Kluyveromyces lactis: one gene and its partners. The protein of the gene in region 1 purifies or fractionates together with the protein of each later gene. This does not show direct contact. Links are inferred from orthologs where the notes say so. Each region holds a gene or a part of one and is shown on either strand. Other genes may lie near its edges.

Evidence for each region.
Region 2: the proteins of APL3 (region 1) and APM4 purify together in Saccharomyces cerevisiae (affinity purification with mass spectrometry, with the first as the bait; 4 studies listed by BioGRID). This does not show direct contact. The link is inferred for Kluyveromyces lactis from reciprocal best matches to the Saccharomyces cerevisiae genes APL3 and APM4.
Region 3: the proteins of APL3 (region 1) and APL1 purify together in Saccharomyces cerevisiae (affinity purification with mass spectrometry; 3 studies listed by BioGRID). This does not show direct contact. The link is inferred for Kluyveromyces lactis from reciprocal best matches to the Saccharomyces cerevisiae genes APL3 and APL1.

The regions. Positions count from the first base shown.
Region 1 is NC_006038.1:1,065,325-1,073,179, reverse strand, and holds APL3 (Apl3p), read right to left. Parts: upstream 4,956-7,855; coding exon 2,097-4,955; downstream 1-2,096. Other genes in the region: IST2 (Ist2p), read right to left, coding at 1-801; KLLA0_B12265g (pyridoxal phosphate homeostasis protein), read left to right, coding at 1,139-1,915; RFC5 (replication factor C subunit 5), read left to right, coding at 5,305-6,372; MRPL16 (mitochondrial 54S ribosomal protein uL16m), read right to left, coding at 6,524-7,189; MSF1 (phenylalanine--tRNA ligase), read left to right, coding at 7,559-7,855. UniProt on the Saccharomyces cerevisiae protein: Adaptins are components of the adaptor complexes which link clathrin to receptors in coated vesicles. Clathrin-associated protein complexes are believed to interact with the cytoplasmic tails of membrane proteins, leading to their selection and concentration.
Region 2 is NC_006039.1:352,248-359,410, reverse strand, and holds APM4 (Apm4p), read left to right. Parts: upstream 1-3,094; coding exon 3,095-4,522; downstream 4,523-7,163. Other genes in the region: putative serine/threonine protein kinase RTK1, read left to right, coding at 1-560; ribose phosphate diphosphokinase subunit PRS5, read right to left, coding at 979-2,385; MRX9 (Mrx9p), read left to right, coding at 4,896-6,026; ARP2 (actin-related protein 2), read left to right, coding at 6,464-7,163. UniProt on the Saccharomyces cerevisiae protein: Component of the adaptor complexes which link clathrin to receptors in coated vesicles. Clathrin-associated protein complexes are believed to interact with the cytoplasmic tails of membrane proteins, leading to their selection and concentration.
Region 3 is NC_006041.1:840,700-848,360, reverse strand, and holds APL1 (Apl1p), read right to left. Parts: upstream 5,229-7,661; coding exon 3,138-5,228; downstream 1-3,137. Other genes in the region: THI73 (Thi73p), read left to right, coding at 226-1,761; CMS1 (Cms1p), read left to right, coding at 2,137-3,063; mitogen-activated protein kinase kinase kinase SSK1, read right to left, coding at 5,807-7,661. UniProt on the Saccharomyces cerevisiae protein: Adaptins are components of the adaptor complexes which link clathrin to receptors in coated vesicles. Clathrin-associated protein complexes are believed to interact with the cytoplasmic tails of membrane proteins, leading to their selection and concentration.

The DNA of each region.
Region 1 (7,855 bases):
TTCCCATGCGGTCATCTTATCAACAAAAATCTTGTTGTACACCAAAGTTAAGATAGGAACATACACGGAGAGTAACACTGTTGGCAACAAGGAAATAACGGATGCCAATGGTCCCTCATATATTTGAGTCAAGAATATTTCTAACGCAAAGCACAGTAATTGGAACCCTACCAACAACGTGACAAATAACAACGCAATGGGGAAGAAGCAGAGTTTCTTCATGAAAGTGATCCTTGAATCTTCCAATGGGATCAATGACAGATATCCAAATAGAGACGAGTAATCAGCCTCGTATTTATTCTTCCAAAGTGTAATAAAAGATATAGCCCAAATCAACACTGCAACAGCGTAATACGCATTGAATTCCATGCCGCTAGGATTGAAGAGACGTAAACCCAATCCAAAAACAGCCAAGGGCATAAGGAACCGTGTGTAAGTCTTCACAAAAGCAAAGTACATAGCAACACGCGGATTACCACTAACCTGAGCTAATTGAACCAAATCATTATCAGTCAAGAGAGAACGATTTCTAATTAACTCGTGAGCCATCCTCTTCATCTGCTCCCTCTCACCCTCCGTATACAACGGTGACACCTTGGTTACGAACTTAAATCGTTCGACAACTTTCAGCACGTTACCCAAATCATCCCTAACAAAGACATACACATTCTTCGCATCATGTCCAGGTCTGCACTCACATAAAAGACCCTTGGCACCTAATTCAGCCAACAAGACCGACAAATTCTCTTTCGAGTATTCAACCACTAATACATAATTAGGGTCTAATTCAAAAATACTCATCTTCACAGCACCAAGAAAACACACGCACGTACCTAGGTTAATTGGAATCTCTTAACTAACAGATTAAGCACCAAACTGAATGCTAATTCTCATCACAAAACTGAAATCAAACCAATCCCGTTTCAATTCATTGAATTTTAATCGCGTTTTGCTTCTTTCCATTTTCGATTTGTCTTTTTTGCAGCTCCCCTACATCACGTGACAAGTATCAACACTTTTTTCCAAGAACGGCTTCAAGATATAAAGGAATTTGCTCGATGATTCACAACATCTGATAAGATTAAGTGATGAGCACTTACTTTAAATTTTGGTTTTACCCATATTATAGTGCTTTTGAATGATTCGCAGGGGACTGATAGTAGCAAGAAGAATGTCTAGTGATATCAGTTACGATGCTGTGAGGAAAGAAGAGCTGATTGGGGCTTATCAGACGATGAAAGATAAGATCAATGCCACTGCTCAGGAAGTCGGTAATGTTAACGTTGAATTACTAGCTGTTTCCAAGTATAAGCCTGCTGCAGACATCAAAATTTTGTATGATTATGGTGTGAGACACTTTGGGGAAAACTACGTTCAAGAGATGATTACGAAGAGTGAGATTTTACCCCAGGATATTAAATGGCATTTCATCGGCGGTTTGCAAAGTAACAAATGCAAGGATTTGGCTAAGATTGCGAACCTTTACTCGGTAGAGACCGTTGATTCGTTAAAGAAGGCGAAGAAGTTGGAAGAAGCCAGAGGGAAGTGGAACCCGGATGCACCCGTGATCACGTGTAATGTTCAGATCAACACTTCTGGAGAGGAACAAAAATCCGGATTGTTCGCAGAAGTAGAGGTGTATTCGATTGTTGAATATCTTATCAAGGAGGCCAAGCATGTTAGTTTGAATGGATTAATGACTGTAGGATCCTGGGACGTATCCCATTCAGGTAATGAAGAAAACCAAGATTTTGCTAGATTAGTTGAATGGAAGAAAAAGCTTGATGCAAAATACGGCTTGGACTTGAAACTCTCAATGGGTATGACCGCGGACTTCAGACAAGCTATCAAACAGGGAACTTCCGAAGTTAGGATCGGTACTGCCATTTTTGGTTCAAGACCACTTAAAAACTAAAACAACGCTTGATTTCAATTGATGTATCAAAGAGAAAGCAAACAAGAACCCAAGAGAAGCACCTTTTGTGTATATACGCGCATTCTTGGCTTCTTACTTTATACTGTTAAATATTGCATTGTGCATCAATCCATACTTCTATTTTTACAAGTTCATACATATAAATATATTTTTATTTCAATCACTCCTCAACTACCTTTTTGATACAATTAATCACGAATCTAGAAAGGTCACCACTTGAAGTGGTTTTACAGGTAATTTGTACCTTATCGTCAGAATCCAGTAATCTCAACTTAAGCAAGCATCCGTAGTTACCATCACTCTTTGTATGTAAAATACCACCAGCAAATGCAATGTTTGGAATTGACGATTGTTGGACAACGTCAAAACCAACTTTTGACATGGTTTTCATTAATTTTTGTAAATTTGTATGTTGGCATTCGACAACGTCTACATGTTCGCCCGCTTTTCCAAGAGAATCACCGATTGACTTCCAACGTTGAACGAACTGGGCTAACTTAATCTCACTGATACGAGGTGATAGTGTAGAGAGAATGGTATAACCAATTTTTAGCCTGTGACTACAGTACTGACCGCCACATTTAAATTGCGATGACAACAAAGATGCATGTTCTTGTGGGAATGGGAACCTTGTTGTTATCTCAAAAGTATATGATGTTCTGCCGTTGGACGGTGCTAACTTTGAATCCGGTGATTGCAAGACTTGCAGCACATATGGTGGGTTGTTGTCCGCACGAAGTGGAATAATCTCACAACTTAATCCTGTAATTTCCCAATCTGATTTGTTCACATATGTGAATGTGATCTTGCTTGTTGATGGTTGCTCTTCCTTGGTTTCCACTCTAAACAAAACACTCACCAAGGTATCCTGATAAAATACACCTTGGGTATGAATTAGCATCCTTTTAAAGCCAGATTCCCATCCAGGAGTTAGTTGTTGTGAATGATAGAGCTTGTTGTTTTTTCTTGATCTTGGTGGGGTGGGTAAGGATGCGGGTTTGTTGTTAGAGTCTACAGTGTTACCACTGGTGAAAGGTTGCTCTAGGCTCAGTAGTTCTTGTGTTTTCGGAAGCTTGGACATTATGTCCGTATCTTTGCTAGAAGCAAATGGTGGCATACCGGGTAATAACTTATCTATAAAGGTCATATCGTTCATCTTCGAATATTGAATTATCTTCAAATATTCATAAGATCTCGTCTGCAAAATGACGTCAAATGAATTCAACTCTAATTGAAAAAACTTCACAACAACAGAAGATAACTGCGGTTCGACGTGATACAACTTTAACATTCCTGTTAGTATCATTGCCTTAGTCAAATTACTGACTTGGAAGTATTTTTCAGTGAAAAGGTTAAATAGATCCCCAGCTGAGACTTTGTCGTTAACCAGTGACGCATATTCAGCTAAAAGGAAAACACCAGCCTTCACAAGCGATTCCGCCACGTTAGGAGCATGTAAGTAATCAATCAGATGTTCACACGCTAGTTTATGTAATGGTTCATTGTTCACCACTATCTGACAAATTCGCTTCCAAACATGATCATTCTTGATTGATGTGTTTGATGATAATAACCTTAACGAGGAGAGCACAAACCAGTTGAGATCATCTGCGTGCAGCTCTATCAGCCTTTCAATTTGGAACGACAAATCTTCTCTCAGAGCAAAATCCATTGATTTGTGGGCTTCTAATGCACTTAAAAGCTCTTGAACGACAAATTTGAAATTGCTTACGTCTGTTAAGATGACAAGGAGATCAATAATTTTTCTCAATAGAGTAACGTCACTCTCTCTTTTTAACATATCAACTAATCTCGTGAGATGTTCATTTTGAATTGTCTTTATCGCAGTTGTTCCATTTACTTTACAGATTTTGATTAAAAGATCGAAAGTTGAATATCTCGTATTCAGGTCATTAGATGTCATTAGTTCACAAAGTCCTGTGACGGAATTTGAAATAGCCTCATTAGTAGGATCCAGTTTACAAGCAAAACCGAGCATTGTAAACATAACAGAATACTGAGCATTTTTGGTGACCGGATTGGCATCACTTGCTAATGCAAACGATACCGCATGTGATACACAAACCCGTAACTTACCCAGGGTCTGTTGATCAATATTCGATCCGATCAAATTCTCTCCGTTATCGCTGACCAAGACTTGTAAAAGAGATACACAATTCCCTACAATCCATGGGTTAGATACTCCCGAAAATTGGTAATCTGCATCATTTGCACTATTCTGCTTTTTCGATAGACATTCATGCAAAATCTCAGCTAGTTGCGGGATTAACCTCAAACATGGATTAACGTCAATCTCTCTAGCTATAAACTCAAGTAAAGGCAAAAGTGAAAGTAATAATCCATGATCGTTCTCATCCCCTAATAATGTAGTAATTCTTTCAATCCATAGAGTTCGTTTATTATCTTCAAGATTTGTAAGGATTTGCGGTTTATAACGAATTAAAGTTAAAAACGCCAAGCATGCTTTTCTTTTCAAAATGGCTGATGAGACAGGAGATCTAAGAATTCCGAATATCGTCTCACTTAGATTATCAGCAAAGATTTCATCACGATTCCCAACTATTCCGACGAAGTTCAACGCCAAGCTTACTGCATTAGCGTCGCCAGATGATAGATCCAGTTTCAAGCATGAAATAGTCTTCTCCAGGACGCTGTTTCTCACAACAGCATGGTTGAAAAGGAGTTCAAGTGTCATATAACCAATCCATTTTTCACTGAAGTTACTGCTTTTCAACAACTGGAAACATTGATCCAATCCGAATAACAACTCAGGAACCATGCCAGCATTAGTAGTGATATATATATATGCCATCTTAGCAACATATTTTTTCCTTTGATACCCATTGAGCCCACTTTTCTGGGTAAACTGAGTCCGTATATTCTGTAGTTCAGTTTGTATTCTCCTAGCATGCTCTTTAGTCTTCTGGTTTGCTCGAAGGTCTGCAATGAACAATTGCAAACCCTTCATGTTGTTCTGTTGATTCTGACCTAAAGCCATTGTTAATTTCTTGATTCTGACTTGTAAGACACCAAATAACTAGGAAGATAATCAAGTGGCACTGCTAATCGATAACAACTAGTAAGTGTACAGATAAAAATGGTACCTACTGCTGGTATACTATCTAACTTGATGTTGTTGTTTTAAGGCTATTGAAGTTACGTCTACTTGAAATCATTTGAATTTCAAAATGTCAACGTGAAGAAACGTTTGGCGAAATTGTTAATAAAACGCATCACGAAAAGTACTTGAGAGACAATTAATCAAAACGCATAGCAGGCGAACGAGCCATTCCAGCGAGTTACATTGAGCTACATCGACTAACAAGATTTAAAATTCCTATACGAGAATGTCTTTGTGGGTTGATAAGTATAGACCAAAGACTCTACAGTCATTAAGTTACAATGAAGAATTAACAAATCAATTGTACTCATTAACGAGACAACCTCAAGATCTTCCACATCTGTTGTTCTATGGACCCAATGGTGCTGGTAAGAAGACTAGATGTATGGCACTGTTGCAAGAAATATTTGGTTCTGGGGTTTACAAGCTGAAGATCGACGTTAGACAGTTCGTCACACCATCCAACCGTAAGCTGGAGTTGAATGTAGTCAGTAGTCCCTACCATTTAGAGATTACTCCGAGCGATATTGGTAACAACGATCGTGTTGTGATACAAGAATTGATTAAGGAAGTCGCTCAAATGGAACAAGTAGATTTCCAGGACTCCAAGGATGGTTTGGCACATCGTTACAAGTGCGTTATCATCAACGAGGCAGACTCGTTGACTAGAGATGCCCAGGCAGCATTAAGAAGAACTATGGAAAAATACTCTGGTAACATCAGGCTTATAATGCTATGTGATTCAATGTCCAGTATCATTGCTCCTATCAAGTCTCGTTGCTTGCTAGTTAGAGTACCATCACCAAGTTTGCAAGAAACTGTGTCTATCCTGCAGGATTGTTGTTCCAAAGAAAAAATAACTGCCGAGGGCAATTGTCTAGAGAGGATAGCGAATCTGTCAAAGGGGAACTTGAGAATGTCACTCTTAGCACTAGAATCTACCTCACTACAAAATGAATTGCATTTAAGAAACGATACACCTTTGAACAGACCTGATTGGCAATTGGTGATCCATAAAATGGCTAGGAAAATATTAAAAGAAAGAACTGTTAATAACCTTGTAGAATGCCGTTCCATAAATTATGATCTATTAGCCCATTGTATTCCTGCCAAAACCATAGTCCATGAATTAACGACGCAATTGCTTTCAGATGCCCAGTCAGATCCGTTGAAGTTGGCAATTATCGATACTGCATGCACTTTTGATCACCGTCTCAACCTTGGAAACAAAGCAATCTACCATTTAGAAGGGTTCATTGCAAGGACAATGTGTGAAATAGATAAATATACGTAAGTATTAACTTTTGTAGTTTGACAAACAACCAAACTTTACTCATTTGGGACTTTAAATCTTGAATCTTTGATAGCCTATTTACAGATAGTGGGATTAGCTCTCACAAAAGTTATACGTAAAAGAGTCGTTTATATACACACATCGATCTATTTCAACGAGCCCTGAACATTCTATATTCCGGTTGCTGGGACTTCAACTTTGTAATATATTCCTTTGTAGGTTTCTTCTTTAGTTCTTCAAAGTAATTGATCTTTGGATCGTCCTTTGGATCTTTTACACTCTTGATACCTACTCTTACCAGAGAATCTTTCGATATGAATTCGTATAGGCCAGGAAGCTTGGTTGCTGCCTTTCTAAACGCCTCACGTGCTACTTTCTCGTGTAGATTGTCACCTGCCATCTCAAAGATCACTTTACCGGTGGGTACTCTGACCATCCAATGGTCAAATCCACCCTTACCTTTACCCATTCTGGTCTCATTACCCTTGATACAAACAGCAATGTTTGTACACAAACGACGCCATAATTGACCGTTATTCAAAGGTCTAACGTATCTCATAATAGCATTATCGGCTTCCTTCAACTGTAACGCAGTAAGTCTCACACCTTCAGACTTCAATCTTAAACCAAATTGACCAAATTGAAGCGAATTACCCTTAGTAGAGCCACCGGTACGCACTGGCACACGACCCTTTTGCTTCTTAGTCTGGTTCTTGAAACGTGGAGCATATTCATGTGTAAAACGCCTAGCGGTTACTTGCAGACTTTCTAATGGATTTAGTGAGCGAAATCCAGTCTTGAAAACGCTGGAAAACATGGTGATCTAATTTACGATAAAGGAGGCTCACTGATCTGAAATAAGATCCTTGCAATGAGGCGCGAGGGACTGTTTTATGCTGCTTTTCAAATCAATTTCTATGCTCTGGATCTTCTTTTACTTACTCTTAAAGCTTTTCATTATTGAAAAATTTTTGGTGAAGTTGAAGATATCTTGAAATCATGTGACCTTCTACATACATTCAAAAGAAGATACAAAAGTCTCGTTAAACAACACTTGATATACCTGTTCTGGTGATTTCAGGCAGTGAAATATCACTAGTAATATCATTGCTAAGGGATTACCTTTGTTTTGTTGATTGAATTGCCCCAGTTTTACTGTTATTAAGGGTTCTTTAATACCGAAACGATGTCGAATAGGACGATATTGTCAACTTTGAGACCATGTTTAAGGTTGTTTAGCACCTCCAATGTGGCATTACAGACACTTTCTGTGAATGGAAAGACGTACCCAGTATCAGATAAGACGAATGTAACTAGTTCGATTTTGAATTTGACTGATCGCGCTGTTTATTTGAAACCATCACACCCTGTTGGGATCTTAAGAAGTGTTATCGAGGACAAGCTGAACGACCCTCATCACTCATTCGAGATCTATAACGATTTCAAACCTGCGGTTACGGTACATGAGAATTTTGATTCTTTG
Region 2 (7,163 bases), on another chromosome or scaffold:
TTGACTTTGGTAGCGCTACCATTTTCCATTACAAATACGAGGATAAAATAGTGAAAGCGAAAGGCATTGTTGGTAGCGACCCATACTTAGCTCCAGAGCTTTTGGTAAGTCAATACTATGATCCGAGACCCGTAGATGTTTGGTCCATTGCAGTAATGTTCTATTGCATGACATTAAGAAGATTTCCATGGAAAAAACCAAGCGAAGAGGTCGTGTCATTCAAATTGTTTGCTCAAAATCCAGATGATGAGAACGATCACACTAAGGGTCCATACAAGATTTTGAAGTTACTTCCACGTCATTCAAGACCATTGATTGGTAGAATGCTAGAACTAAGTCCTCACAAGAGAATCTTAATGCCGGAAGTTTTAGCGGACCCGTGGTTCCAAAATATACATTGTTGCGAAGTTGACAACGATGGAAAATTGATCAATCCACCAACTAACCACAAGCATCATTTAATTACGGAAGACGAATTAAAAGAGCTTACTGAGAAGAGAGAAAAGGAGGCTAACGAACGGAGAGCAGCAGAATTAAATCACAATACGACACAAGAGTGATAAAACTTTGCACCTATATCTCAGCATCATGAACCATATCATAACCATAAACAATCTTAACATTCATTCATAATCATACCCAAGCATTTGGTACAACATCATGCACTCTCGCAATAGCTTGGAGACTTTAGAACTTATTTCCCAAATAAAGGGCAATGTAGCATTTGTCGTGCATATTCTTTTCAAATTCGGCCTAATGCATGAAGACCAAGAAATCTGGGGAAACCATCATCATCCAAAGAAACTCTTCCAATGTAAGAATGAATTTTACAAGCTATTGACATTACACCATTGCACGGCCCAATAGAACAATAGAGTGAGACCAACTTGAAATTGATACATTTGTGTGTGTATATACATTTATATTTTTATTACATAAAACAACCTTAAAAGCAGAATCACAAATTCGGTACGATTACTACCATCCATGTTCAAAAAGAATACTTATCGATTCTCCGTTATGAATTCTTCTGATGGCTTCGGCGAAAATATTAGAGACATCTAGAACCTCAACTCTATCAGCACCTAGTACCTTAATTGTTTCGTCCTGTGGAATAGAGTTTGTGACAATTATCTTATCAATAACACTCTGTCCAATTCGGTTTAGAGCATCTCCTGAGAAAATACCATGTGTAATCAAAGCATATATTTTAGTGGCTCCTTGGTCCTTCAAGAGTTTTGCTGCTCTAGTAATGGTGTATGAGGTGTCAACCAAATCGTCAACAATAATACATTCTTTGTTTCTGACATCACCGACCAACATAGTAGTGTTCACGTATTTATTGTTTCCATTATTGGAGAGACTTGTCCTAATATCCAGTGACTCAATTAAAGGTTTGGTCGATACTGGAACGCCACCACCTGATGTTAAGGTGGCGCCAGGTGGACCTTTCAAAAGCTGTGACCTTCTTTCCTTGTGAATCATAGCAAAAGAAAGTTCTAAGACATCGGCGATTTTTGCAGCACGCTTAGCACCCCCAGCATCTGGAGAAACAACGACACAATCCTGATAGTTAGGAATATGATGTTGAATATAAGCCTGAGTGATAGGTTTACAGTATAGGTTATCAACAGGAATGTCAAAGAATCCTTGGAATTGAGAATCATGTAAATCCATAGTGATGACATGATCTGCTCCGGACGTAGTTAGCAAATTAGCGATCAAAGTACCTGCTTGGGCTACCCATAGCTTATAACTAGAATTGCTTGCGTTAAAGAGGGCGTCTGCATTTGAATCTTGCTCCTGCTCAGATGGATGTTCAGCCTTCCCGTTTGGAATCATGGGGATACGCGAAGAAGTAGATGAGGTGGGTCTCAACTCTACTGGACGCAAAGGAGTGGGACTTTGTAGAGACTGAGGACCTGATGAAGAAGCTGAGCTTGCGGCATCTAGCCTACTTGAATTTGGGGACATGGGCTTCTCTACTGTTAGCATGGATTGAGGGATAGGGGTTCCTGGATGTGACTCAAAAGTATATTTTTCCTTAGGCTTTGATATTAATGGAGCACCCTTAGCTGTGTATGGGATATCAGGCTGTCTTGAATACGAGAAGTATGGCATCACAGCAGTGACTCTGGATGCATCAGCTGTTTTACAGGCATTGATGAGAATCAATAGCTCCATAAAGTTATCATTAACATGGCCACATCCACTTTGAATCACATAAACATCTTTCTCTCTAACAGATTCTTCGATACTAATGGAGGTCTCACCATTTGAAAACTTACCTAGCTTCACTTGCGACCTTTCAATACCTAGATTCTCACAAATCTTATTCACTAAATCGAGATGGGAACTACCAGCAAAAACGACGATGTTATTCATTTCTTTCGACAAGACTTACAGGGCTTTATTAAACAGTAGTTTTCTGGATGAAGTACAATACAGGTTCAGCGTTCAATTCACCTCTTATGATCGTATCTGTATGATCATTGTACCGATCGATCTCGTTATCTCTGTCAAATTGTTATAAAAATTTTCGGACCTACTGATAGTAAAGCACATTGCAGAGAATCTTCAAAAAAGAAGAATTACCTGAAAAGGCCCGTGTTTCATCCAGAAGAGCCGCATTGTCAGTAGTGCCATGGATATATCATGTTTATTCATAATGGCCTACTCTTAGGTATTGCGTAAGACCTTTTTGTTCAGATCTGTTATAATTCCCTTGACATTATATGCTTTCCAATAGTAAATATATACAGCTTAGACACAATGAGTTGGGGCAAAAGCAAGGGAATGAATAAGATACAATTTCTGTTCCAATAATCTATCATTGCACAAACCAATCCATCAGTGAGTTGCCTATATAATAATAACATCTCGTCAACGTTCTTGTTCTTTTTCTCAGCTTTTGCTTTATTTTGCAAAGGTTTGATAAATAGCACAACAATAATTTTGAACTATGTAGCGTATATTTCAGTAAAGGTTCCTTAAACTGTAACTTCAGGCACTTGAGGTACACAGGGCAGTGCAAAACTGAAACGGTGGTGTTCGTAACCTACAGTATAAAAATTATCGTTGACCAACACGCAGCATGCTTAGTGCTATATTTATATACAATGCAAAGGGTGATTTGTTGATCAGTAAATTGATCAAAGACCATGTTAAAAGATCACTGGCAGATGTGTTTAGAACCCAAGTCATCAATGATCCACATGTGAGGTCTCCTATATTGACATTGGGCTCAACGACATTTCAACATGTTATCAGAGAAAGTAGCGACAACTTGCCTATGTGGCTTGTAGCAGTATCCAGATCGAATGTGGATAGTTCAATGATCTGGGAATACCTACACAAGTTGTACCAATTAATGGAAGCATTCGGAATTAACGATGAAGACGTGTTAAAGGATGAATTTATGTTATTGTATGAGATTTTAGAACTGACGTTGGAGAACGGCATCCCACAAACAACGGACTTAGCTCAAATAATACCAAGAGTATCACGAAAACCAATAGAGAATAACACAATTAGCAAATCTCCCGATTTGGATGATTTCTTATCCGGATCTAACATTCTAAAGGCTCCAAAGCTTTCAAAGCGGTCCTCAAGTTCAATTGCCTTGTCTTCATTATCTGAATGCCCTTGGAGGCCAAGTGGGTTGAAATACAAGAAGAATGAGGTATATTTGGATATCAACGAAAAGATCACAATATTGGTAGGTAAAGATGGGTCAATTGTGAAATCATTTGTTGATGGATCCGTGGATTGTGTATCACATCTATCAGGTATGCCTCTATGCCAACTAGGGTTGAATGACACATATTCGATTCATGGAAACGAAAAGTCAGAATTGTCCATTGTTGAAATGATGTCCGAGTACGATATTAAGAATAAGAAAGCTATACCGAATGCGGCTGCAGGCTCTGTAATATTAGAAGATTGTAAATTCCATCAATGTGTCCAACTTAATAAGTACGAGGCCAACCACGTTATTCAATTCGTTCCTCCTGACGGGCCATTCCAATTGATGCAATACCGTGTCATTGATAACATTAATATCCCATTCAACGTCATACCGGAGGTAGAAATCGTGAAGAACTCTACACTCAATTACAAGGTAACGTTAAGATCACTTTTCCCATCCAATGTCTCTGCCAAAGATGTAACAGTTAAAATACCTGTGCCCCCAACCACGATTAAATGCGATTTTAACGTCTCTGGAGGAAAATGTAAGTACGATGCCGGAGAAAAATGCATGGTATGGAAATACAACAAATACAAAGGATCTACAGAAAATACTCTGAGCGGTAAGGTGGCAATCCCTGCTACTTCCCACGATCTATCTGATTTGTTAAGATGGTCAAGACCGCCAATATCAATGGGCTTCGAAATTGTAATGTTTAGTAATTCCGGACTTGTGGTGAGACACTTGAAATGTCAAGAACCACAATTGAATTATCAACCGGTGAAATGGATTAAATATATCTCACATTCAGGAGCATACGAGATAAGATATTAGTCCACTGAGTGGGATGACTTGTCCCTATAATGGTGTCTTCATATTAATGTGCAACGAATTGGTTTACAAAAGTTTACCCGGATATGTATATATTATTCATGTTTTTCCTATTTAAACAATGTAGTAATAATATTCCAAAAGTTTAAAGGAACAGAAAGCAGATTATAAGTCATCCTGCGATCTTAGTATGGGGTTTGCGATGATATAGACAATTTGGCCTTTGAAATTCCTATAAAATTCCTTTGTAAATTAAGAAGCTTCATAGATTTCAAGACTATGAAGACATTTTGCATTACCAGAAGTAATCGCTTATTGGTATAAATCTGAGAAAATACAATTCCGCACATCAGACATTGTGATATTCTTCTGTGAGATGCTTCCCCTAAATCGATTTCAATTGTGCGTTAAATCACAGATTGGGCTGCGACCATTTCAATCCTTGACAAAGTTAAAAGCATACAGTCCTGCTAGTCATGGATGTGTCAAGACGGGTCAGTTTGTGAATTTGGTGCCACGGTTCCCACTCCTGGCAGCTTTGAATCCCCGGATGAATCTTTTACATTATAACCAGAATATTTTGGTCTCTCCTGTGAAGATGGCGCTTCGAAATTTCCATTCTACGCCGAGAAACATGGTACTTGGTGGACGGGATCCTTTCAGAAAAAGTCCCTTTAACAATCCCAGATTTATCTTTTCAATCAGCCCTTTTTCCTTTATTCTTTCCACGTTACTGTTCGCTGGATTCATAACAATGATAGTATTTGTTTTGCCTTTCTTACTTGCTTTGCTTTTCCCGATGGTGATATTTGGAATAGGGTGGTATCAATTCAAAGCTTTTAGAACCAGGAAACTTATGCAGCTTTTGGATCATGCTTTCAATCAAACTAAGATGAAGCTTTCATCCACCACAAGGAGAGAATTGATAATGAAGCAAATGGTCCCAAAATTCAAGTCATTTACCCAGCTAAAGGACTTCAGCGGATTCCCCTTCAAGCTCTCTCAAGCATTTACAGATAAGTTTCAATCGGGAGAATTTCCCAACGCAGACAGATTTCTTTCCTTTGTGAAATCGAGATTAGATGAGAGTTTCTATAAAAACGAACACAACATCAAATCCATAGTTTTAGGAAGTGATACAGCTTATGTTCCAGGACACATGGAGTTAGTAACAAACTCGTACTCTTTTGTTTCCAGCGTCAGAAATAACGAAAACATCCAAGCTTTTTCATTTATGCTATTGAACATGGGTTCTGAGGGAGTCCGTAAACCAGTTGCATTGGTTTACATCGTTACAAAGGCAAACCCAGGGGACGAATTGTTGATGTTCACTGGTGACTACATTGATGATTCTAAGTTATCCCCGATGGTCATCTATGTACGTGCTCTCAGCCCATTTTCGAAATGTTGCTTCATTACAGACGTCGGAGAAACTGGAGCAAATGCACAATATAGTGTAAAACGAAAAAAGGACGGCAGTAAAGAATACACGTACGAAAGTGATTAAAAGAACTAACGCCCTCACCTAGGTACTGACATGACATTATTAAGAATCATCACTTCACAAAATCTATTTAAGTTGACACAAACCGTCACAATTTATACATATTCATCAATGAAATAAAAAAGATCATATAACACATATCCAAGCAAACTATAAGATTCATTTGAACCATATGAAAACATGCTTTACATGTAAATCCAACGATTTAGCGGCTATCTTGTGACGTGCCAATAGCTTTATACCTCCTGGATAAATTCTATATGGACAAACATGATCACATGATTTACGTGAAAAACGACATCAACAACATTGGGAAATAGGAGATGTTCTTAAAGAAAGAGAGGAAATAAAGGTTTATTTCATCAGATTTAATAGTGGAACTGGGGTAATTAAATCAAACGGACATTTGTGAGCATCTTCAACCCATTAATAAAGCGAAAATGGACCCACATACTCCAATTGTTCTTGATCAGGGTACTGGTTTCGTGAAAATTGGCCGTGCTGGTGAGAACTTCCCAGATTACACCTTCCCATCCATCGTAGGTAGACCGATTCTTAGAGCTGAAGAAAGAGGTCATGCTTCTACCCCATTGAAAGATATCATGATTGGTGATGAAGCAAGTGAAGTTCGTTCATATTTACAGATTTCGTACCCAATGGAAAATGGTATCATCAGAAACTGGGCAGATATGGAATTACTATGGGATTATGCTTTCTTTGAGCAGATGAAATTGCCAACTACATCCGGCGGTAAGGTACTACTTACCGAACCACCAATGAACCCCATTAAAAACAGAGAACAAATGTGTGAAGTTATGTTCGAGAAGTATGATTTTGGTGGCACATACGTTGCAATTCAAGCCGTTCTAGCTCTATATGCTCAAGGTTTGTCGTCGGGTGTCGTTGTTGATTCCGGTGATGGTGTTACTCACATTGTTCCTGTTTATGAATCCGTTGTTTTGAATCATTTGACAAGAAGGTTAGACGTTGCTGGGAGAGATGTAACCAGACACTTAATTGACCTTTTGTCTCGCCGCGGTTATGCATTCAACAGAACTGCCGATTTCGAAACTGTTCGTCAAATTAAAGAAAAGCTTTGTTATGTATCTTATGATCTAGACTTGGACACAAAATTAGCAA
Region 3 (7,661 bases), on another chromosome or scaffold:
GCACTTGCCTGTTTCTGTTGGCAAGACTTTTTTTCAATTCTTTCAGTTCTTGTAGTTACCTTTAGTGGTTTAGGAATCGGAATGAATCTTTGGACGGATCGAGAAGTATAAAAGAACCTCATCGGATCGAAGTATGAATCGAATTACCTCCCTGGTAAATTTGAAGATATGTCCCCAATTTAAAAATAATAGAACGAAGTCAACAAGATAGGCAAACCAGAAAAGATGCCAGATAAAGAAGATCTCAGTGAGTCTGTTTATTCCGTAAGCGATGAGGAAGATGTAGCTAGAAAGTTCCTTCTAAGTTCCGCAGCGGCCGAGTTGAAGGACGATAAGAGCATCGAACAGGAAGATATTACAGAGAAGACAACTTTCTTTGGGAACCATGTGTTAGATAAGAAGGTGTTGAGAAAGCTTGACATATTTGTTTTGCCATTTTTATGCTGTACGTACCTATTGATGTTTTTGGACAAGGCATTGTTAAATTATGCCGCATCGATGGGGATCAAGGACAATTTGGTTGGTGATGAGTTTTCTAATTTGGGTACTATTTTCTCTGCATCGTATATCTTTGCAGAACCGTTTGCGGTGTATTTGCTCCAAAGGTTTCCCGTGTCTCGAGTGTTGGGCTCGTTCATCATATGTTGGGGTGTCGTTGTCGTTTGTCATTGTGTTTGTAAGACATATGCAAGTTTGATGATTGTACGTGTTCTATTAGGGTTGTTCGAGTCGTGTAGTGCTGTAGGATGCATTACAGTCAACGGTATGTATTATACGAAATCGGAACAAACGCAAAGAATTGGTTACTGGGCTGCTCAAGCAGGAACCGGTTATATCATTGGTGGTTTAATGTCATTTGGGTTTTTACATTACCACGGAACTGAATTTACCTCGTGGCAAATCATGTTCCTTGTTGTCGGTTTAGTGACCGTGGGATTCGGTATAGTAACCTATTTCTATTTACCAGATAACGTTCCTAAGGCATGGTTCCTTAACGAGAAGGAGAAAGTCCAAGTCATTGAACATATCAGATCAAACCAAACTGGTCTTGAAACAAAGAAAATCAAGATGCACCAAGTGAAAGAATTGTTACTCAAGGATAAATTGACATGGCCAATGTTATTATTGACTGGTTGTTCTCAAATTTCAACTGGATCCATTGGAACCTTTTCAGTGACCATCACAGGTACATTTGGTTTTGATAGCTACCAGACATCCCTTTTGCAACTTCCTATCGGATGCGTTACCATCATGATTATTCTAATCACAACCCAATTGATAGGAAGATTTTCCCAATTCACTTTAATCACGACATCTATGTACATTCCTGCAATCATTGGTTGCATTGTCATGATTTGTTTACCGTTAACAAATAAAATCGGTAACCTATTATCGTTGTACCTATTATACAGTGGTTCATGTACCATTACGAACATTTATATCTGGAATACTTGTAACACTTCTGGGTATACCAAAAGGCTAGCAAGAAACGGGTTAACTATGATTGTCTACAATATCGCATGTATCGTTGCACCACAAATGTTCCGTGCTTACTCATACCCAAGATACATTCCTGCCAAGATCGCATTGCTAGTTACTCAATGTGTTTGTGTTCCATTGCAACTGTACATTGGTTACACTTCTTACACAGAGAACAGAAGAAGAGACAAAGAACAAGCTGAGTCCGAAACTAAACCAGAACAGTATCAATTCTTAGATAAGACAGATATTGAGAACAGGAATTTCAGGTACATTTATTGAACCAAACAAATAATAACAATAATAATACTAATAACTAACATACGTTTTGATCTTAATGCCACATCTTTCCTGTTGAAAGTGTGCTATGTATGCTTAAGCAATTGTCTAATGCTTTTTTAACTGATATAATATGTTTTTGAACCTGTCGCAAATACGGGTAACATTTTTAACAGTTTTCTTTTTCCATCTAGTTGGAAAAGCCGTGAATCTTCAAGGTTAGAGAAAAAGTGTAAAATTGAAGCTCATCGCATGGAACTGATCATTTGATATTGGCTTCAACAGAGGTTCCTATGATTGAGTAGTGCCAACATTAAGAAATTTCTTTTCTAGTAAGTAGCACAGTTTAGTACCTTGCCAGTTTATCTGTGTTTCATAATGGTACACGCAGATGATTTAGATGATGGTCTAGTTTATGAGGTTAACGATGCCCAAGACGATGATGTGGTATCCGATGGTGAACTAGTCGAACTAGATAAGGACAATGATAGTAATACTGCAGATGAAGTTTCAGAGAATAAAAGAGCATTGGATACGGAAGATAATGGAAACACTTTATCCACTGAAGAGTCTGAAAAACCTTTAAGTAAAAGACAAAAGAAACTGGCTAATTCTTCTCTCCATCAAAAAAAACTAGAACGCATGGCGTATGAAAAAGCTCAAAAGGAGAACCTCCCTAAGGCATCAGTTGATAAAATTATTGAGTACTTAGCCACATCAATCCGTGACAAAAACCCTGATTTAAGTGCTTTAGAATTAGATGAGTTGTACTTTAAGAAACAGGACTTCTTATCGACGGAAAAATATGAAAAGGATCGCAGTTTGAATAATTTCCAAGATTTCATTCACACATTTTCAAAGTCACCTAGATCTATAATTCTTTCTCAATCCAACATCCGCGTTGCAGATGTATATAGAAGTGTTAACGGCCATCAAACAGCGGTAAAATTGTTCTCAAAGAATAAACTTAAAGATGATATAACTAAGGTGGAGGAACTGCTTGGATCTAAAAAGGAATCCAAACCAGAGAAGAAAAACAAGAAGTCCAATAAGAAGATGAAGGGTAAAAACTTTTCCTCAGAAACTGTAAAATATTTCATATCAACTCCAACACGTATTCAAAAAATCATAGAGAGCACCGATCTTTTCTTCCAAGGCAAAGAAAAATTAGATATATTCATTGATGCGAGTTACCTTGATCCAAAAAATAACACAATTTTCACATCAGATGATTCCGCTGTTCTCTATAAAGTACTCAAGGAGTTTTTGAAGAATAAATCTTCTGTAAAGATTTTACTGTTTTAAATATATTGATTGAATATATATATATATATGTTTAGTTTAAAGTTCGTGACATGCGTGGCTAGTTTTAATTTTGTTCATTGGAAAGGCTTCCGCATCGACAATTTTCTTGCGAGCATCGATGGCTTTCTTGCTAGTTTTGTCGCTGAAAGAGATATGCTGGATTTTCTTTTGTCTTTCAGTTGGTTTACTGTTTCAGCTGGTCTATCGAAATCTGTCATTTTCTTAATTGGAGAACTGGATCTCCGAGTAGTATCAGAACCGTGGAAACTTCCAGTAGAATTGTTACTGATAGAGTCATTAATTATAGACAAGGATGATTTTTCATGATTAAGTGCTGGACTTTCCGGCAACTTCTTAGGGCTTACACCCCGGAAAACTTGGGAAACAGGCTTCAAATATACCGATAAAATGCTACCAATGTTTAACTCCAACTCTTCTCTAACAATTGGATCCAATTTTGTGTTGATTTCAATGACAGGAAGTTCACCATCTATCATGTCCCGTACCACATCGTTGTTAAATAGTGGCTCAGAAGAGTTTCCTGCCAATGACAATAATCTCCAATACATATATGCATTATCTCTAAGATCGGGATTATCGTTAATTTCTGTGGCTCCTGACAATAATTTAAGACACAACTGTTCAGTTTCTTTTGATTGCGCTCTGCAGAAAAATTTCACTGCCGAGTTGAGAAGCAATAATTGAACTTCTAGACCTTCAGTATTGAAGTTATCAGAATATTTGCGGAATACACCTATTGGGTCTTCCAATTGATTTGAATGGTTGGTGACGATCCATATCATTGCACATTTCGATTCAGAATCTTGGATGGAATCAGAATATTGCGGTAAAAGTGGAACTACGAAGTCAAACTGATTAGGGTATTTCCTTAGAACATTTTTGAGCATGGAAACGACTTCCTGCACAATGTAATCGACGCCAAATTCTAGAAGTTCGAGCAAGACGTCAACACTATATCTTGCTGAATGTGGATACTTAACTGCCAAATTACCAATTGCTCTGATTGACTTTTTGGACATTTGGATATCGATATCTGTTGCTTGACCCTTTAATTCGTCAAGAATTTGAGAAGTGTTTTCTTCATTCGCTAAGAGATATAAAATCTCTAATTTTGTATCTTTGATATAAGTCGGGTCAGAATATTCAATGAAGAAGTTATTAGGTTCAAGGTGTATCAGTGGAGAGTCACGCGATAGTAAAAGTAAGATTACATTTCTCAATACCAGAAATTGAATTTCAGGAGGCTTATTCAATAAAGAAGTCAAGGAGCTTGAGAACTTTCTCACAAGCCTCTCTTCAATGTAATCAACGTAATTTGTTAGATAGATAATAAATTTTAGAGCATTGAGCACGACAGATGAATTCAAATTATGCAATTTCGGTACAGAAAGATCGATAAGATGGTGAGCTTCAGAATGCGTTTTTGGTAAGTATGCAGTAGTAAGTATATCGAATAGAATCGCAATATCCCATTCATTGATTTTTCCTAATACCTCTAAGAGATTGAAGCATATGTTCTGCGTTAGTTGGAGTGGGTTCATATCAGGATTGCTAACATGAATTTCATGAAGTACTGTGACAGCGGCAACCAATATTGTGGGTTCTTCTTTACCGTAGTCCAACATATCCATGAGAAAATAATATAGTTCTAAAACTTTCGTATGATCTAATTGATCCATTTTGATCAGAGAATGGATAGCTGCCTTCCTTAGTGGAATAGATATTTTTGAAGTTGTCATGATTAGCTTCTTCACATGCTGGAAGCCTTCTTGAATATACTCCGGTTCATCTATCGACGTTATTGTGCGCAATGATAAAATGCACAGCTCTTCAGAATTGGATAGAAGGTCTTGTAGGATAATTGGGAGAGCCATTCTTAACTGATCAGGCTTTGATGGAGTCAAAGTGCAAAAATATTGATGACACATTCGTTTTATCTCTAAATCATTTTCACTATTCCATATTTGTAGAACGTCAACGAATAATTGTGCCATTTCATGATAATTTCCCATGATCAAATTCGCTATAATCTTTCGAAGACATAGTTTCCTCTTCGAACTACCTCTGGCCTTACCAGAATCCGAAACCAACTCCCCTCTTATTTCATGTGCCTTATACTTGTAGAATATTTTGCTTTCCGACATAATTAATATCGTACTGACTGAAATGATATTAGAGTTTATATTTATAGTATCAACACAGCTCAATCCAGTTCGTGCAATATGGTTGTTTATGTAACAGTTGTCTCTTGAGGGAAATATAAGATAGTTTCATTATAAACCGTACTTTAATTTAGTGTTTGTTACTTTTGACATGTTCTTGAAATCAAACAAAAAGTCAGAGATTGGTGTTATTATTACCCGGACAAAGAATTTGTTCTAAATCCAAGGCTGGTTAATATGACATGGCTGCTTCAGTACCGTCCGAAACAGTTTGCTACCTCAATAATGTCATATTTACTAAGATATATGCTCAATACTAATATAGTTTCTTGTTAATGTTACATAGCATGATTTCTGGTCATAATTATTATACTTTTCCAAAACCTAAAAGATGTTGAATTAGTGATGCTATCGGTAGATTGTGGACTGTAATAGGTGGGAAGAATGTTGAAATATTCTTGCCGGAGAAAGACATCTGATGACCATTATAGTAAAACGCTAATGTATGATTGTTACAACTTGAGAAAACTCAAAGTAATTCAATTATTCCATGGTTTCATTCACGGACAACAGTCATTCGATTTTGTATATTTAGAATCATCGCATTCAAGTGTCGTTGAGACAGAAGAAACTCTCGGTACAGATCTAGTAGAAGTTGCTTGTGATTTTCTTGCCGTTACAATTTGAGGTCTCAAAAGTACATCATCAGTCATCCTTCTTTGTCCTTCAGTCCAGCCATCAAAATCGATTAATGCTTGCATACATCCCCATTCAGTTATTTTTTTGCTTAACCAGTCCAAATTGACTGGTTTGGTCAAATAATCATTACAGCCAGCTAATAGGGCCTCTGTTCTATCAATTTGTGAGTAAGATGCGGTAAGTGCAACGATTATAACAGGTGACCTAAACTTCGATTTGTCCAACACCATATTCTGCTGATTCGATTTCTCGACTTCATTTTGCTGATCACTTGTCTTTGCAGCAGTTGTACCTCCTTCTTCCTTAGAATTAGCATTTTTTTTCAGATTGGGCTTCTTAGAAACACTCTTTTGAGAGAAATTCCCAATATTGTTAATTCGTTCCAGTTCTCTTATTTTTTTTGTTGCTTCGAGCCCTGATAGCAGGGGCAATTGCAAATCCATAAGGATAAGATGACTATCGCCTTCTTTCCACTTTTCTATTGCTTCCACTCCGTCTTTGGCAACTTTGTAAGAAATTCCGTTCTTTCTTAAAAATAATGCTAGAATGGCTTGGTTTATAGCGTTATCTTCTACAATAAGCACGTTGATACGAGGAAACACTTTATATTTTGGAAGGTTGCCTTGCTTATCTAATGAGGGTGTGGTCCTTCTGGATAGTGGACGAGGTAATTCTGGAGACGATATTGTCTTTGTTAATGATATACCCACTTCCTCTTCTGTTAATGGTTTCTGGGCTGTCAACGCGTAACTCTCTGGATGTGGCGGTGAAGTTTCAATATTATCCAAGGAAATATTCGCTTCCTCATACGGAGAATCATTGCTACCTTCAATATCCTCAGGGGATACACCTTTTGGTAATAGTAGTATTCCAGTGTTATTACGCGAGCTTGAGAAACTTCCAAAAAGACTTGGCCGTCTTTGATCGGGTCTTTCAACAACAGAATCGATTTCAGTTCCCTGGCTAATATCTGAGAGTAGGATCTCTTTTTCCTGTCCTATAGCGTCCTTGGTGAATATACGTATTGGATCTAAAAGTTCAGCAGGAGTCAATACTTCAGGAGAGGTAGGAGAACTTGAAGACATCGGAGGATAAAACACTGTTAAAGCATCTTCACTTTTCTGTAAACCCCCATATAACTCCCTGTATACCGTCATAACGGGCGTATCCGGTTCTATGATGACTTTGTACGCATATTTCAGGTTATCATCAGGGGATTGAGATTGCTGTCGTGTATGCTGAGAAGATAACATCCTAAGACCATTGTCATCATTGAATGCGGTATCCAAAGAAGGACTTTGAGATGTGGACCTGTGTAACAACCTATTAAATGAGTTATGCAGTTGGGACCATCGTCCAACACGAATCTGATTCCTTTTTATCAGATTTTGATACTCAGAGTATGTTATTACGAATGTATTGGAATTTGCTTTCTCTGGTCCAACTGAATGAGAGTGCGATGGCTCTAGTAGTTCCGCACTGTAATAATAAAACCCAAGACTTATATTCGTGTTATCTTTGAATCTGAACCATCTCGTATTACTCAACTTGTTCAATACCTTACTTTTCACATCATCTATCATATCTCTCACTTCAATGTCGACACTAGTTGGTTGATTGTATAAAGTATCCTCAATAGGATTCTCGCCGCGAAAGCTATCGCATGGTGTGTCTAATTGTAACCAAATTCGCCGGGTACTTCCTGAGGTAACAGTC